5 linked regions of the Kluyveromyces lactis genome follow. The protein of the gene in region 1 purifies or fractionates together with the protein of each later gene. This does not show direct contact. Links are inferred from orthologs where the notes say so. Each region holds a gene or a part of one and is shown in the gene's direction. Other genes may lie near its edges.

Region 1 (3,617 bases):
TGGCAAGTGCTTTTCGGTAAATTTACAAAAGATTTTTACCTAGATCAAGTACACAGACCTAGGCACTACGGTAAGGGGTCAGCTCCACTATTTGGAAACTTTTTAGAGCCCCTTTCCAAGACGCCTTGGTGGATGGTTCCGGTCGTCTGGTTACCAGTCGTCACATATCATATTTATACTGCATTGATGAACATGAACCAGGCCTTTGCTATCTTCTTATTTGCCGTCGGTGTATTCGTGTGGACTTTAATCGAGTACGGATTGCACAGATTTTTGTTCCATCTGGATGACCGTCTTCCAGAGAAGCAATGGGCGTTTACCTTGCATTTCTTGTTGCATGGTGTTCATCATTATTTACCAATGGACAGATTCAGATTGGTTATGCCTCCTACTTTGTTCGTTGTGCTTTGTACACCATTCTACAAACTAGTGTTTGCACTACTACCATACTACTGGGCTTGTGCTGGATTCGCTGGTGGTATGCTAGGTTATGTGTGCTACGATTTGACACATTACTTCTTGCACCATTCACAATTACCACCTTACATGCGTAAATTGAAGAAATACCATTTGGAGCATCATTACAAGAATTACGAGTTAGGTTTTGGTGTCACCTCTTGGTTCTGGGATAAAGTGTTCGGTACTTATCTTGGTGAAAACGCTCCATTATCCAACATGAAGTATGATTGAATTAAATAATTCACTATACGTGCCCACACAACCCTTCTATCATTGTTATTCACACTATTATTATTTTTAAACTCATTTTAACGACGATAGGAACTCTTCCTCTCCCAGTCTACACATTTTTCAGCATTAACGCTCTTGTTTCTTTCTCTCTCCTTCCTTCTCTCTGTAACAAAACCCGAGAGAGTTTGATGGATACCACAAACGTCAGCGATATATGTCCACCTGAGGATATATTTCCACCAGATCTTCCATTTCAATTCCAAAACCAGTGATCCATCTCTTTTGATTGTCTTTGCCAAGAACAGGTTCTATTCTTATGATATCGTTATTAGTATTAATATCTTTTTTTATCTTCTGTTTTAACTCCATATACATCCAATACATAAATTGATACAACTGCTTCAGCACAACTATTTTAAACATGTTCGCCGGGTTGTTTTCGTCCACCTCGTGTAACTTTATCTACTCTTGATGTTATTAACATCAGTTCACGCAAATCACGTGAAAATAATAACGGTATTACCCGAACGTTATGCCATTCGAAAACTCTGAATGAATGAGTTGAAGCATTGAAGTTATTGCGAGAGACGTCTCCAAACGCTTAGCTCTTAAGGGTTAAAGCAATCAATCAGTTTCATCCTATGGGTATGAAACTGACCGAATAGTAAAGCACTCATACAATATTAAAGTACTAGTTGGCTCTTTGAGACTGAATATGACGACTTCTGAGGATAAAGATAAAAACGATGCCAAGATAGAGACTGACCAGAGACGTGTGCGACTAGATAAGTTACCTAATCTAAATGAGGTACCTCATGCCAATCCGATGGAACGCTTGTTTGCACAGGCCGTACTATTGCAATTGAAGACACTTAATAAGAATGTGGTTATATCTCAATTGGCGTTTGACGATCTTTGTTATGTTTCATTATTACAGTTAGATGATTTATTGCAAAGTCTGAAGAAGATAACTCAAGTACAGCGAAGGACAAAGATCTCCAAGCTTGATTTGAACCTCTACTTTAAAGGTATTGGTATGGATCTGAAAGATTTGAATGGGCAAGTGGAAATATCGAATTTTGTACATGGGAAATTCAAGGACGAGGCTAATGCCTTGAACGAAACTGTGCTAAAGGTTAAACAGCAGTTCATGAAAGAATTGGAAGAAAAAGAGCTTTTGAGTTCTAAACATTCAGAGTTCTTCGTGCAAGATGTTGATATATTAAATTTGTTACCTTCGAGCAACAAATCTAACAAATATGTGCCCAGTTGGTTGCCAGAACTACCGCCTGATCATACGTACAAATTTACCTCGTTGTACAAGAGACCCATTACAGATGAGAGGCTGATGAAGAAGAAGTTACTAGAAGAAGGAAGGCTTTCGGAAAAGGCATTGTTGAATATGCTTAGTCAAGTTGTCAATCAGGACCCACTGGTAGCGCTAAATAAAGATAGCGACCAGTCTGCCAACAATGCTGCCCTTTCTGAACATATTAAAGAAAGTCAGTTAGAAACCGATTTAATCTTTGACCCTCATAAAACCATACCTACAGATAAAGAATGGGGTACAACAACGGTCCTTCATGGCATCGAGTCATTCAATCTTTCGCCAGTGAAGAATTTCAATGTGTTAGAATACTGTAAGAAGAGAGATGCAATAGTAAAACGAAGGGCTGAAAGGGCAGAAAACCAAGTATCGAATAAGAGACGTAACCCATTCATACGAGGTGCCATGATCTGTTCACCCTACGGTCAAGGGAGTACCAAATCGAGGAAGTCAGTTGAAAATCAATTGAAAACAATGCTAAGGCGTAGTTACTTGGGGCTGATAGATTCCATACCGAGAGTCAAAGAAGTACGAGAAAGAGCGAGAAAAGAGGCAGAAGAAAGAGAGAGACTTTTACAAGAACAAAGGAGAATAGAAAAGGAGAAGAAAATGGCCGAACAAGAGATTCTTGATCTTAATAACCTACAAACTGATCCCCTATTGCATGGCTGGGACAAAGACAGCGAAGATGATGACGAAAACGACGACGAAAAATTTCTGACGCAGGGACCGCCAGAGGTACAAGCAATAACAGATACTAACATTTCAACTCTGGGGGAGTTGGCTTCTGAGCTGTTGCACGGACCAGATGAAGAAAAACCGATGGAAAGCACAGAGACTTTTGAAGATGTACTTCCGTCAATTACCCCCGCTAATTCGACTCCTTTACTTTCAGAAGTCGCATCGGGATCCGCATCAGGTCTGACGCCGAAAGATATATCGGAAGATGCACCAGAAGCAGGATCAGAAGAAGCTAAATCAGAATTAGCCCTTCATACATCACCGGGAGTTGCCACAGACGAGTTGCTAGAAAATCAATCACAAGATCACGATTCTAACGTGAATGATTTATTCTGATATATTTTGACTTTCATTATAAGTAGTCATATTAGCTAATGAATCAAAACTATGTACATCATAATTCGTATAGTCAGTAACGTTTGTATTCTCCTAATGCTAATCAATGTAACACCACTCATACACGCGATGCAAGAATACTTCATGCTGTGTATGTTCTGTTTACTTCTCTCTTCATATCTGTTTATCCATTATCGATCGAATTTGAATTTAAATAACAAACATTTCTGTTAAATAAAAGCCAACGTGAAGACATAACAATGAATTTCGGAGTTGCAAGAAAGGGAACGGGCTGTCAAGCGGGATTCCAAGCGCGGTAAGATGTCACTCGAAACTAATGTGAAGGTGACCAGTGACCTACCATATCCCATCACTGTTGCGCAGTTGTACGTAAAACCGGGTGATCACGTTGAAAAAGGCCAACGATTATTTGCTTACGAGTATTGGGATTTCCAGGACGTTCTGGTGAAGTATGAGGAGAAGACTAAGAAGCAGCGGGTGGATCGGGTGGCTACTTTTGACT
Region 2 (3,993 bases), on another chromosome or scaffold:
CACATACGTCCTATGTGGAGAACAAAAGCGGTGATGGTTTTTCCTGCTTGCCCTCCTTTGGATGAAGGACTGTCTTTATCTTATTCGAGAGTGGGCGTCCAGGCCACATTCTGGATTCCATGAATCGTAGTAAAATTACAGTATATAGGTGTAATCGTTATATAATGAATCATTCCATCTTTACGTCGCCTTCTTGGTCTTTTACCTCTGCCGGTGTATCTTCAGCCGGAGTTTCTTCCGCTGGAGTTTCAACCACAGGAGTTTCAACAGCAGCTTCACTCTCGGCTTCTTTCTTAGCATCCGATCCTGAGAACCCAGGAATGTCAGAACCACCAACAGCTCCTCTTATATCGTTAATTGAGAGTGAATCTGGGCCACTTTTCTCCTGGACACGAGCATTTTTCTTAGCTATCTTCGTCCTATCAAATTCATCTAAGTTAAGAACATCTGTATCATCCTCAACTACATCTCTCAAAGGATGATCTTTTTTTACCCATTGCTTGAACTTATATTTTACCTTCTCATCAGTACCATTTTCATTTTGTTTAGCAGTAGTGGACCATTCGTATTCCCAATGCTTTGCATCGGTCGTGAAACCTCCAAGACGATTTGCCCTACTTATCAAAGACATTCTCACTTTCTGTTAAGTATATGGCTCAGTGTGTAAATTTGCTGAAATAATTGGCCGAGTTAGTCGATCTAACACCTAAAAGATTGTCGCATTGTACCTTTAGATCTCTGCTCGCACTGTTAAGCTTTAAGCTCTTGATGTTTGGCTTTAATTTCATGTTGGCAGAATTATCAACAAAAATTGACCTTAAATGGGATAAAATGGTCGATTAATAGGTCAGCGAACCACTTATTGAAACGAAAAGCCAGTAAATGAGATGAGTGCATGCTACACATTGCATATAACCTTGTTAATTCGAGTGAAGTGGCCAATCTGGGCCATGATAGTGGTTTATGTTACATGGATTGCACTGAAATTACGTTACCCGGTCTCTGGATTGATCCCTCAATATCAAAATCTAAACAAAGTTGAAGAGCTGATATGTACATTTCAGTAAAGAGTGCTCGAAGTCATAAAAAGGGTGGTTAAATAGGTTCATTCAACTCTGTGAGCCAATATTTCTGTCAATAACAGAATTCTAATCTGATTCCAGTCATAATACACCCATTTTTGCGAAATGCCTAGGGTTGCTGGAAGCTCAGGAAGCAAGAAACAAGGCAAGGCAAAGAAGGATTTCAGCAATGAAGATGATGCGTATAACGCTCTATTTGGTGGTGAGTTTGGGGCATTAGATATTAGTAATTATACTAGTGGTGGCGGCAATGGTAAGCAAGATGAAACAGAGCATCTGCCGAATGCTATTGATTTTGAAGATGAAGATGAATTGGCAGATGAAGAATTACCGGAGGAAGAAGAGCCATCCCATTCTCCGAACAGGCATAATGAAGGGTCGTTTCAGCGGAGTCTGACTGAAGACGACGAATATATGACTCTGATGGACCATGGTGATGTGATGCATGAAGTTGACGCTGCTGGATTTGAAGTACAAGGTAATAATGCATTGTTCATGGAGAGCACATATCAGTCATTTGGTCCAGAACAACACCAATTTAACGAATATGATGAGCAACACAGGAGGTTAATGGAGGAACAGCGAAGGAAACAAGAGGAACAAAATGCGAAGGAAGAACAGTTATTATTTCAGTCTTATTTCCCTGAGCTAAAGCCGGGTAGAGTCCTAAGAATGACCAAGATAGCTCCAAAACCGTTGGCGAAGTATCAATGGCAAAGGGAGTTATACCTTCGAAACAGAATTTTAAAACCTCTCATACCCATTAAAGTGAAGTTTCAAGTTCAAAAGGATACAAAAAAATTGTTCAAGATGAGGAGTAAAAGCGTAAAGCCTTGGCAAAGTGCTATAAGCGAGTTCTCTGAAGTTCAACGAAGAAATGTTATCAAAGTAGCATACGATGAGATATATAAAGAAGATACTGTAGATGACAAGAAAGATGAGCACGATGAAGTGATACCGGAAGATCTTCTCATTGTAGCTGATGAATGGGATTATGAGAAAATTGTTGACGATAGAGAAAATGAGGAGCCAATGACGAGTAACAAGAGGAATCCGCCAGCAGTTGAGAACACTTTAGAAGAAGATGGGAAAGACTGGGAATGGAACGAAGATGATATCATAAATGGTAAGGTGAGTGCTAAAGAACCGCCAATTGATATGAATGATGAGCGATTACTTATTTTGCCTAATGAGAATAAAATCGAATCGGCACAAAAGGTCGTTAAACCTCTAATACCATATAATGAGAAATCTCTACTAGCAAAGTTCAACATCTCTAACGATGACACTTACAAGATTTTGAAAAAGAACTATCAAAAAAAGATCAGATCTACAATTTCGAATTTGAATATAGAACATTCTCAACCGGCGACGCGCCTACAATCTCCATTCTACAAAGTTGTGTTACCAAAAGATCAGTTGAGACACTTTCATAGAAATCATTTCGGGAAACGGATTCGTCCTGGTACCAACATAGTGTTCAGTAAGATAAAGACCCGTAAGAGAAAGAAGGATAAAGGTAAGGATGTGCACGAAATTTTCCAACATTCTGCGGACTTGACTGTTGGTGACAGTGCTCAAGTGTTCCTGATGGAATACAGTGAACAGCAACCTGTTGCGTTATCTAAATTTGGTATGGCTAACAAGCTTATCAATTATTATAGAAAGACGGGAGAAACAGACAGCTCCAGACCAAAATTACCCGTTGGTGAGACTCATGTATTAGGTGTGCAGGATAAATCACCATTTTGGAATTTTGGTTTCGTCAGTCCAGGAAACATTGTTCCCACTTTATATAACAATATGGTCAGAGCCCCCGTTTTCAAACATGAGGTCTCTAAGACCGATTTCCTTCTGGTGAAAAGTCTTGGTAATGGGTCCGGTAACAGATTCTATTTGCGTCAAATTAATCATCTCTTTGCTGTCGGTCAAACGTTCCCAGTGGTCGAAGTTCCTGGTCCGAATTCTAGAAAGGTTACTGCTATGGGTAAGAACCGTTTGAGGATGGTTGTGTATCGTATTTTGAACAAATCTCCGGAAAACAGACTGTTAGTGAAACAGGTGGCTCGTCATTTCCCAGAACAAAATGATATGCAAAACAGACAAAGATTAAAGGAATTCATGAAGTATCAACGTGAAGGTGATGATCAAGGTTTCTGGAAACTAAAGGAGGGAGAAGTTTTACTGGATAACGAAAACGTGAAGAAAATGGTTACTCCTGAAGATGTTTCACTCGTTGAATCCATGTATTATGGTCAACAGTTCCAGGAAGATATTGATTTCTACAACTTCGATGAAAGAGCTAAGGAGTTGGAGGAGAACTTAATATTTTGGAATGCTACCAAGAATTTCTTGAATGCTACACAGATGAGAGCAATGATTCAAATACATGGACCTGGTGATCCTACTGGTTGTGGTGAAGGTTTTTCGTTTTTGAAAACCTCTATGAAGGGTGGGTTTGTAAAATCCGGTTCAAAGGATCAACCGCAAATTGCTGGTGGTCATAGTTACAATGTCGCGCAACAACAGAAAGCATATGAAGAAGAAATAAGTAGGACGTGGTATAACCAAGCCAAGTCTTTAAGCATTCAAAATCCCTTTGAAGAAATGGATGATCCAGATATCGTTAATGAAAGTAATAAGCATGTTCCCTCGACAAGACCTGACGAGAAAGTGTTACGGATTACTAGAAAGAAGAGAGATTCCAACGGTATCATTCAACGACAAACTGTTATAGTCAGAGACCCTAGGGTCATTCAAGGTTACTTACGTGCGTATGAAAAGAGGCGTGAAGAGGCGGAGCGTAATTTGGGTCTTGATGAATTGATCAACGATAACATAACCATTGTTGGCGGTGAGAACGAAGAGGAAAGGCAATTGAAGCAAAAGAAACTATTGGAAGAACAATTGG
Region 3 (2,866 bases), on another chromosome or scaffold:
TTTACATATCGATGGTAAACATATGTGTCTGATTATAAAAGAAATCTGGAAAATGAGGAGAAGCTTACAAGCCCTGCTGTAATCTTTCAGCCAATTTACTCTTGGCAAAGCCCCACGCGCTTAGCAAACCCTTTTCATTCAATTCTATATTCAATGGGATATCCTTTGAAGGCGGTTTCGTCACTCTAGAGGCAATTGTGGCTGGATCAGTTTCTAAGATAATACCATCATCAATCAATTCATCAATTGCTAGAACCACCATGTCATAATGTTCCTGAACACTCCTCTTGTCAATACCTGTATCCAATATCAATTCTAGGGAATCTTTGAACCCGTTGAATGCTTCTTGCAAAACAATTTCGTTTTCGTCGATTGCACCGATCAGATATATCGAAACATCGACATATTCTCTGTAAATAACTAATAGATCGTCTGATATCATAATGTCTGAATTCTGCCCATGAGTTTTAGCAAATAGGTTAGATTCGAACTCTTTTTGCTTCTTTAAGCTGGATGCAAGAGAATCTGCAGAAATTTCTTCGTGTGGTGGATGGAAGTATTTCGAGTAAAGTCTTCTTCCTTCTCCATCCAAAATCAACACAGCTTTAACTGTGTATAGAGATAAGTTAACCATGTTGTTTATGTTTTTCTTCTTGGTTACTTCCAGGGTATGCTATTCGTGTTATTCAGTACTGATGCAATGGTTTACTGTCTCAGGAGGGAAGTGCTGGTTTGGCGGTACGCGAAAATTCCAAATTTGCAGTTGACAAGATATAGGACAAATAGGAACTGCGCTCGAGAGAGGCAGAATTCAGCTCTCAACCATTGCCCATTCCTGTAATTAGAATCAGTAGCCTTCTTTGGATGTCTTGTAAAGCTGTCCATGTAAAAAGCTCCATGGCAATGAAAGCCTGTTGATATCATTGAATACGGATTTATGCTCCAGTAACGCCAAACAGCAAGTGTTTGATCGAATCTCTTATCACGTGATTTGTTTCCGGGTAATGGAAAACACAGAAGGAACTTGTAACTTTTACTGTCTGATAAGTAGGTTAGCCATGCAAATACTATACATTAACGAAAACTGTCTATTGTGGGGTTCGTTCGATGCAGAATGCAACCAGTACTGAGCTTCGAGGACACTGATTGATTTACTAAGCAGTATTTACTTTGATTTATTTATCATAAGTTAAATACCGGCCAATTGCAAAGACTTTGCAGTATTTTGTATATTCTACGCTCTAAGCATTGAGCAAGCAAAGTGTTATTGCTTTACTCAGCTCCTCACAATTATGACCACTGATGAAAGTTTTTACTTTTCGCTGCTGCGAATTTCAATGATACACCTTTTAAGGGCACATGGCTTCGATAGAGCCAAAATGGGGACAGTTAATCTTTTTACTGATTTATATGTGAGATATCTAGAACTGATGATTCAAGAAATACGGAAACTTACTCTGGATCGCCGTGATTTAGATGAAGAAGTGTCCCTTCAAGATATTACCCAAGGAATGCTCAATATCGGCGTATTTAAACCAATGAACCTACTGGATGTTTACGATGAAAACCCGTCCGTGGCAGGCGATGAAGGTATGCAACAGTTTAAAAGATGGTTACTTCAAGATCCCGCAACAACAGAAGCACGAGTTATCAGTACCCCAAGTCCAGACCTGTTGAAAGTTGGTGATAAAACTAGTAAACCATTGTCAATGATTCCGGAGTATATCAACCAGCTGAATACATCGGACAAAAAGCCTAACGATGGAGATGATGAGACAGAATTGGTGGAAGCAATGATAAACAACGGGGATATGGATGACTGGATACAATTCATGTTGACATCACAAAAATTAGAACTTGCGAAGAGGAAGTCGGGGAAACTTCCTCAAGATCTCATTTCGTTACCGTCAATTCCTGGATTAAAATACTCTAAACTAAGCCGAAGTCGACCTATCATTACCAATTCATGCATTCCAGTTGGAATCGAAATTAACGAAGATGAAGAAGGAAAAGAGGAAAGTACTGAAGACGCAGCAGAGCAAATAGTTCTGAAAAGACTCATCTCAAAGTTACCTATCGGTAACCCAAATAACAAGTTAGAAAACATAGTTGTTTCATATGAAGATGAGAATATTGACGATTTACTTGAACCCCTCCATACGGAGGAAGATCAGCAAGACTACACCGATATTGATAAAACGGATTATGATTTTGAGACCTCTGGAACGGGAGGCTTAACTTTAGGCAATGTAGTTACCACAGAGTTAGACGAAATGGAGGACATGCAAAATACATTTGAAAGAAGGGCATCTTTGGATTTTGGACACGCATACGATATATAAATATAATTTGTTTAACACAAAATTAGTTCATGTTTACGACAAAACAATCGCACTCTCACTCGATTGTTTTCAAATCAATCACATGTAACAATCTTTTGGTTCCGATTTTGTCTATTCTACTATACATCTATATACAACTATCAAATTGATAAATGGGCTAGGGCGTTGCAGTGCATATCAGGTAAAAGTGATTTATAATCTCCTCTTGTTTTTAAATCTACCATTGGATTTTTTACCAATTCTTCCCTTTTCAGCTGGTTTTGTTTTTGGTAGCTTGGTTTCCTGTTCATCATCACTGAAATCATCCTCATTGCCAGCTCTGGATCCTTTTTTGAATTTTAGTCTGTTCTTTTGACCCTTTACTGGACCTTGTTTGACAGCATCTAAGTATGCATTAACACCACTGGTAATAGCCTCTAACGGATCTTCATTGTTATTTTCTCCTCTTCTCCTATCGTTTTTCATAACCAACTTACCTTCTGCATCAAAGCTGAACACTTCATCATCGACAATCCTTCTTCTTT
Region 4 (3,266 bases), on another chromosome or scaffold:
GTGTAGACAACCCAGAAGGTCTTCCATTCATCACCTTATGTTGGATCAATGATCATGAAATTTTAGCAGCTGGTTTCTCAAATCATCCTGTTTTGTACAGCGAAGGTTCAAGGGGTTGGGAAGTGTCCAAGATTTTGGATAGCCCAGTTAAGAGTGCTGGCAAATTGGTAGCATCAACTGGGGATGATGAAGAAGAAGGTGCCTTCGGTATGTCCGCATTGAGAAAGTTCAAGGAATTGGATTTGAAGGGTAAAGTTAGCCAGCAAGAAGAGAAATCTACCCATGTGAACTCAATTACAGAATTGGCTGCTTACAAGGAATCTAACAACAACGTCACTCAAGTTTCTTCTGTTGGTTTGGATGGTAAACTTGTTATATACAAGTTGTAGATATGGACGGTAAACGATTCATCTCTTCATCAAATAGTTGATCAGATCACCCCTATAACTCTTACGTTCAGAGTGAGAATACAATAAAAAAGAGTGGCCTTAGAAATGAAATATGTATATCTATGTTCATATATATTAAAATGTAATGTTACAACTCTGATTATGATTACAATAATCAGTCCGATTCCGCTCATAGATCTGAAGGTTTTTGTTGGTGATCCATCCGTCGCTGTATCACGAGTGAATATACGCTACCTTTGAGAAGCGTACTTACAAGAGATATTTTCACTTCAATTTCTCGCATCTCTTGTAAAATTGCTTCCGGTTTTGAGTCCTCATGGGTGTTGTTTAGATCTGAAAGTGTTTCGCTCAATTCCCTTAAGGACTCCGCTAGGAAGCGATATTTATCGAGCACACTTCGCTGCAATGGTGTCAGTTCCGAAGACATATTCAAAACACAAATAGTATGTTTCTTTGTAATTTGTACGTAAGCCCAAACCAGTAATGGTTACCTTTGTTGCCTTACCTTACATATTCAATTGGAACTCTATCCGGTAAACTTATGATAACGTTATTTCATTTTTGGTATTTTCCAATATTGACGAAAAACATAAACGATCGAATCCTGAAAGAATAACAACTCCATCCTTCAAAGTAAGGAATACAAAGCCAACGATTTGAATACAACACCAGCGCTCCTCTATTGCACGAACATCCACTCGAAAACTCTAGTTTCAGGTGTATACACTGAAACAGCGATAAATTTTATTCGAGTAAACGGTATTCTTTTCTTTATTCATTTGTGTTCAATTTCAATAATGTCACAGCAGTCCTCTCAGCAACAATCTTATACAATTTGGTCCCCGCATGATACGGTGAAGGATGTGGCAGATTCACTCGGAATCTCAAATACAAATGATGACGTGTTGAGGTCATTGGCGATGGATGTCGAGTACCGTATTTTGGAAATCGTGGAACAAGCGGTGAAATTTAAGAGACACAGTAAGCGATCTACTTTGACTACAAGCGATGTTGCGAAAGCTTTACGTGTCCTTAACGTCGAGCCATTGTATGGATTCGAGGAAGGATCAGCGAAAAATGAGCCCGTTAAGTTCAATAAGTTGGAGGGCGCTAATGGGCAGACGCTTTATTACCTAGATGATGAGGAGATCGATTTTGAAAAATTGATCAATACTCCATTACCAGAAGTTCCAAGATTACCAACGTTCACGGCGCATTGGCTAGCGGTAGAAGGAATTCAACCTGCCATTCCACAAAATCCAAATATCAATGAACTAAGGCTGAGTCAAGTTCCGTTGCAAAGAGGAGCAATAGTCTCACCATTAAACGAAACTTCTGTTCAAACCTCTTTACAAACAAATGTCAATGAAGAAAGACAGGCCACCGCAAATGGACCTATCTCGACACAAGTGAAACCAGGTGCAGCAAGTGAAGCTAAGCCATTGGTCAAACACGTTTTGTCTAAAGAATTACAGATATATTTCGAAAAAGTTGCTAGTGCACTTACATCGAAGGAAGAAGATATCAATTCACAACGGATGAGAGCAGCAGCTTTAACTTCGTTGAAGTCTGACACAGGACTACATCAGCTTGTTCCATATTTCATACAGTTTATCGCAGAGCAGATTACTCACCATTTAGAGGATTTGGAGTTGTTAACTACAATGTTGGAAATGATATATTCGTTATTGAGTAATCAATCAGTATTTTTGGATCCTTACATTCATTCTCTAATGCCTTCTATCTTAACACTACTATTAGCGAAGAGACTTGGTGGTAATGGCTCGAAAAACTCATCTGACGACAAGATTGTTGACCAGCAAAATAAAAAAGAGTTTTTAGAGAAGACTAATGCTGTCCGTGATTTTGCTAGCTCTTTACTCGATCACGTCTTGAAAAAGTTCCCAAAGGTTCACAAATCGTTGAAACCTCGTGTTACTAGAACTTTACTTAAGACATTCTTGGATATCAATAGATCATTCGGTACTTACTATGGTTGTGTACGTGGTGTTTCTGTCCTCGGTAACGAAACAATAAGATTCTTTTTAGGCAATTTACAAAACTGGTCGAAACTAGTTTTCGAGGAATATGACAGAAGCCAATCGGAAGACAGCAAGAGCGGAAAGAACCTAACTGACTTGGAGATAAAATTATTGTCAACAGTGATAGTGTCCACTTTAGAGAACTTGAAATCTGATCTTCCATCTTCATACAACCCTTCTGGTGATTTTAGTGAGGAGGACAAAACTCGTTTGAGAGAAAGATGCGGAATTACTGTCGGCAACGTAATACTGGAAAGAGACGATGCAAAGACTCTATACGATGCTATATTTTTTGGTGAGCTTTAGACATCAAATATGTAAATATTGTAACGAATATACGTATTAACTACGGCGCAAATAATCTCCTACGGACGTGCCTGGTTTTAACCTTTACTGGCGATGCCCTAACTGGTGTTTCTGAAACAACTGAAGGGGAAGCCACCAACACTGGGGTGTCCTTCTTTTCCTCTATAGGTTTGATCGGAGTTGCTGTAACATGTATATCCTGCTGTTTATCATCAAATCCGGTTTCTGAGATATAGCTAGCAAGTTTACGTTTACCAACTCGTTGGAAAGAGTTATTATGAGATTGAGAGATATTGATAGCTTTTCCGTTTACCAAAACAGTTCTAACAGTGCTGAACTCCTCCAATATTTGTTGTCTTTGCTTGACAATATCGTCTAAAGAAAGATCTTGCACAGACATTTGTCTTTTTTGAAGGCGATTCAGTTTCAAATCCGACGACGACCTTGACGCCATTTTGGGTTTCTTCTTTGTTGTTTCCTCCTCCAAAAACTCTACAAGGTTTGAGTT
Region 5 (2,145 bases), about 720 kb from region 1:
TGCTGCGCAGATGTATGATCATCATTAGCAGATGATGATTCCATATCTTCTGGAGTGCATAAATTTGTGCCCTCTTTCGAATCTGAATCAGCAGTTTTAACCTTATTTTTCTTATTAGCTAGTTTCTTCTGAGCTTTTTCGATGGCATTAATGAAAACTTGATTCTTCTTACGTTTCTTCCGTGGCACGTACCTTTTTTTGACCTTATCTGTGCCTTTGAACACACCAAATTTCTTTATAATCCAAGTCTTGTCTTCAGAGATGAGCTCTAAAGGAGGAGAGCTTAACGCTGATAATTCATCGTCCATATCCTCATAATACACATATTCCTCTTTGTACCGAACGAAATCAACGTTTCTTCTCTGATACTGAGGCTCATCTGGATCTTTGATTCCTGTAGGTGTTGCGGTCACATTACCCATAGTGTCAAACTGAATTGGCCGGGTCCACCGAAGTTTTACATCGTATCCTCCACATATTAACCCACCTTTCTCACATCGCTCACATCCGGGCCGCCGAAGATCACACTTTACTTTCCTTGATCTACATGTCCAGCATCCCGTGAACGTCTTCACTCTGGGCTTCGCAGGCTTCATTCCTGCTTGTATCCTCTTTGACTCACAGTCGCTGTGAAGGAAAAATAGCCTCCAATATTTACCAAACCTTCAATATCAACCACACGCAGATGAGCGTCTAAATGATGCCACTGTTGGAACAATAATATCTACTAAAACCTTATCTTGAGCGGTACTAATCGGTTTATTATCATTGCTCTGTTTATCTGATCCTCAGAAGATGCGATGTGGATCTGTCATGTCCTTTCCTCTGTTCGTCTTTTCTCAAAATTTTCACACAAGCGGAAGGGTTAGGCGATTTGTCAATTTCTTTCTCGCTAAAAAGCTCCCTATATAGCTTAACTGTTGGATGGACTGCGCATGATATTTGGGGACAAAAAAACGCAAGCGATTTTTTGCTGCGAAAAAAAAAAAAGCAAACTCGCACTATTCTTCGCTGTGTTTAAGTTGACAGTTTGACATAAAACTCAGAACCAGAATCAAAATCACGAAACAATGATCAAGCTATACAGTTTAGCTTATAGCGCATTCGTCCATTCCATGGAGTAGAGCTGACTAGTCGGTTGGAGTTCTAGATCAACACAGGAATGTCCAGAAGAATTCGTAAAACAAGTCTTTTCAGTAAAGATGTTGGCTCTTTGATGTATGCGTTTGGTGATGTCGCGCAACCTTTACCAGAGACCATTCAATGTGTAGACGAATTGGTGGTGTCTTATTTGAGCGATATATGTGCCAATGCGTACTACTCGGCTCAAACCGTGAAGAGGAATAAGATTAAAGTGGAAGATTTCAGATTTGTACTTCGAAAGGACGAGGTGAAATTAGGTAGAGCTGAAGAGTTGATTAAGATGAATAAAGTTATTACCGATGCCAGGAAACAATTTGATAATTCAGAGGGGAAATCTTTGAAACGAGTGAAAGATGACGGTGATGATGACCACATTTCGGCTGATGAAGATGAGGAGACGACAACGGTTCCTGAACCCGTTCCTACCTCACGTCCGGTAGGCAGACCAAGGAAAAAGGGAAATGAACCTCCTAAGAAGAAGAAACGGGAAACAAGCTGAGAGTTACATTCGCATTACCCCTAGCATATCTGTACTTGAAATCCTTCTCTTGCTGGGCAAAAGAAGTGAAAAAACAAAGCAATCCTCATATAAATTCTATCATTATAGTATTACGCCTTTCTGAACAAAATGCCATATTTATGCATACTTAGCGGCAACATATACGTTTATTTTTTCTATTAGCTATATATTAACCAAATGAATAGCTTATGAGAGGGTATTATTTGAACATAATCACCTTTATCTTCATAATTGGAATTTTCAGCTGGTTCTCCTGTAGTTCTTAATATCTATAAACAAATTGTCATATAAAATGACAATTTGAGAGGTTTTTAATCTATTCTTCGTAGTTGTAGGATGGATATTCAAGCTCCTCTCCTTCTTCGAGATAGTTTGGAACACCAATAAACTTGTTCCAGAGTTTATTGAGCTTTAGTACAGTGTACTTACTAACAGTGGAAGGTAGGTCCGTATAACTTGTTACGATAAACCGCAACGCTTGC

Evidence for each region.
Region 2: the proteins of TAF8 (region 1) and TAF1 purify together in Saccharomyces cerevisiae (affinity purification with western blotting; 10 studies listed by BioGRID, with this or other methods). This does not show direct contact. The link is inferred for Kluyveromyces lactis from reciprocal best matches to the Saccharomyces cerevisiae genes TAF8 and TAF1.
Region 3: the proteins of TAF8 (region 1) and TAF3 purify together in Saccharomyces cerevisiae (affinity purification with mass spectrometry; 3 studies listed by BioGRID, with this or other methods). This does not show direct contact. The link is inferred for Kluyveromyces lactis from reciprocal best matches to the Saccharomyces cerevisiae genes TAF8 and TAF3.
Region 4: the proteins of TAF8 (region 1) and TAF6 purify together in Saccharomyces cerevisiae (affinity purification with mass spectrometry; 5 studies listed by BioGRID). This does not show direct contact. The link is inferred for Kluyveromyces lactis from reciprocal best matches to the Saccharomyces cerevisiae genes TAF8 and TAF6.
Region 5: the proteins of TAF8 (region 1) and TAF13 purify together in Saccharomyces cerevisiae (affinity purification with mass spectrometry; 5 studies listed by BioGRID, with this or other methods). This does not show direct contact. The link is inferred for Kluyveromyces lactis from reciprocal best matches to the Saccharomyces cerevisiae genes TAF8 and TAF13.

What each region holds. Positions count from the first base shown.
Region 1 is NC_006040.1:143,417-147,033, reverse strand, and holds TAF8 (Taf8p), read left to right. Parts: upstream 1-1,405; coding exon 1,406-3,094; downstream 3,095-3,617. Other genes in the region: SCS7 (fatty acid alpha-hydroxylase), read left to right, coding at 1-690; FCP1 (protein serine/threonine phosphatase), read left to right, coding at 3,416-3,617. UniProt on the Saccharomyces cerevisiae protein: Functions as a component of the DNA-binding general transcription factor complex TFIID. Binding of TFIID to a promoter (with or without TATA element) is the initial step in pre-initiation complex (PIC) formation.
Region 2 is NC_006037.1:879,448-883,440, reverse strand, and holds the start of TAF1 (histone acetyltransferase), read left to right. Parts: upstream 1-1,187; coding exon 1,188-3,993. Other genes in the region: RTT102 (Rtt102p), read right to left, coding at 170-631. UniProt on the Saccharomyces cerevisiae protein: Functions as a component of the DNA-binding general transcription factor complex TFIID. Binding of TFIID to a promoter (with or without TATA element) is the initial step in pre-initiation complex (PIC) formation.
Region 3 is NC_006042.1:2,524,101-2,526,966, reverse strand, and holds TAF3 (Taf3p), read left to right. Parts: upstream 1-1,292; coding exon 1,293-2,342; downstream 2,343-2,866. Other genes in the region: RET3 (coatomer subunit zeta), read right to left, coding at 65-634; mRNA-binding protein RRP12, read right to left, coding at 2,535-2,866. UniProt on the Saccharomyces cerevisiae protein: Functions as a component of the DNA-binding general transcription factor complex TFIID. Binding of TFIID to a promoter (with or without TATA element) is the initial step in pre-initiation complex (PIC) formation.
Region 4 is NC_006042.1:979,216-982,481, forward strand, and holds TAF6 (TATA-binding protein-associated factor TAF6), read left to right. Parts: upstream 1-1,207; coding exon 1,208-2,758; downstream 2,759-3,266. Other genes in the region: ARC40 (Arc40p), read left to right, coding at 1-389; DAD3 (Dad3p), read right to left, coding at 580-837; SLD3 (Sld3p), read right to left, coding at 2,799-3,266.
Region 5 is NC_006040.1:863,701-865,845, forward strand, and holds TAF13 (Taf13p), read left to right. Parts: upstream 1-1,162; coding exon 1,163-1,642; downstream 1,643-2,145. Other genes in the region: ARG81 (Arg81p), read right to left, coding at 1-596; ERO1 (ER oxidoreductin), read right to left, coding at 1,980-2,145. UniProt on the Saccharomyces cerevisiae protein: Functions as a component of the DNA-binding general transcription factor complex TFIID. Binding of TFIID to a promoter (with or without TATA element) is the initial step in pre-initiation complex (PIC) formation.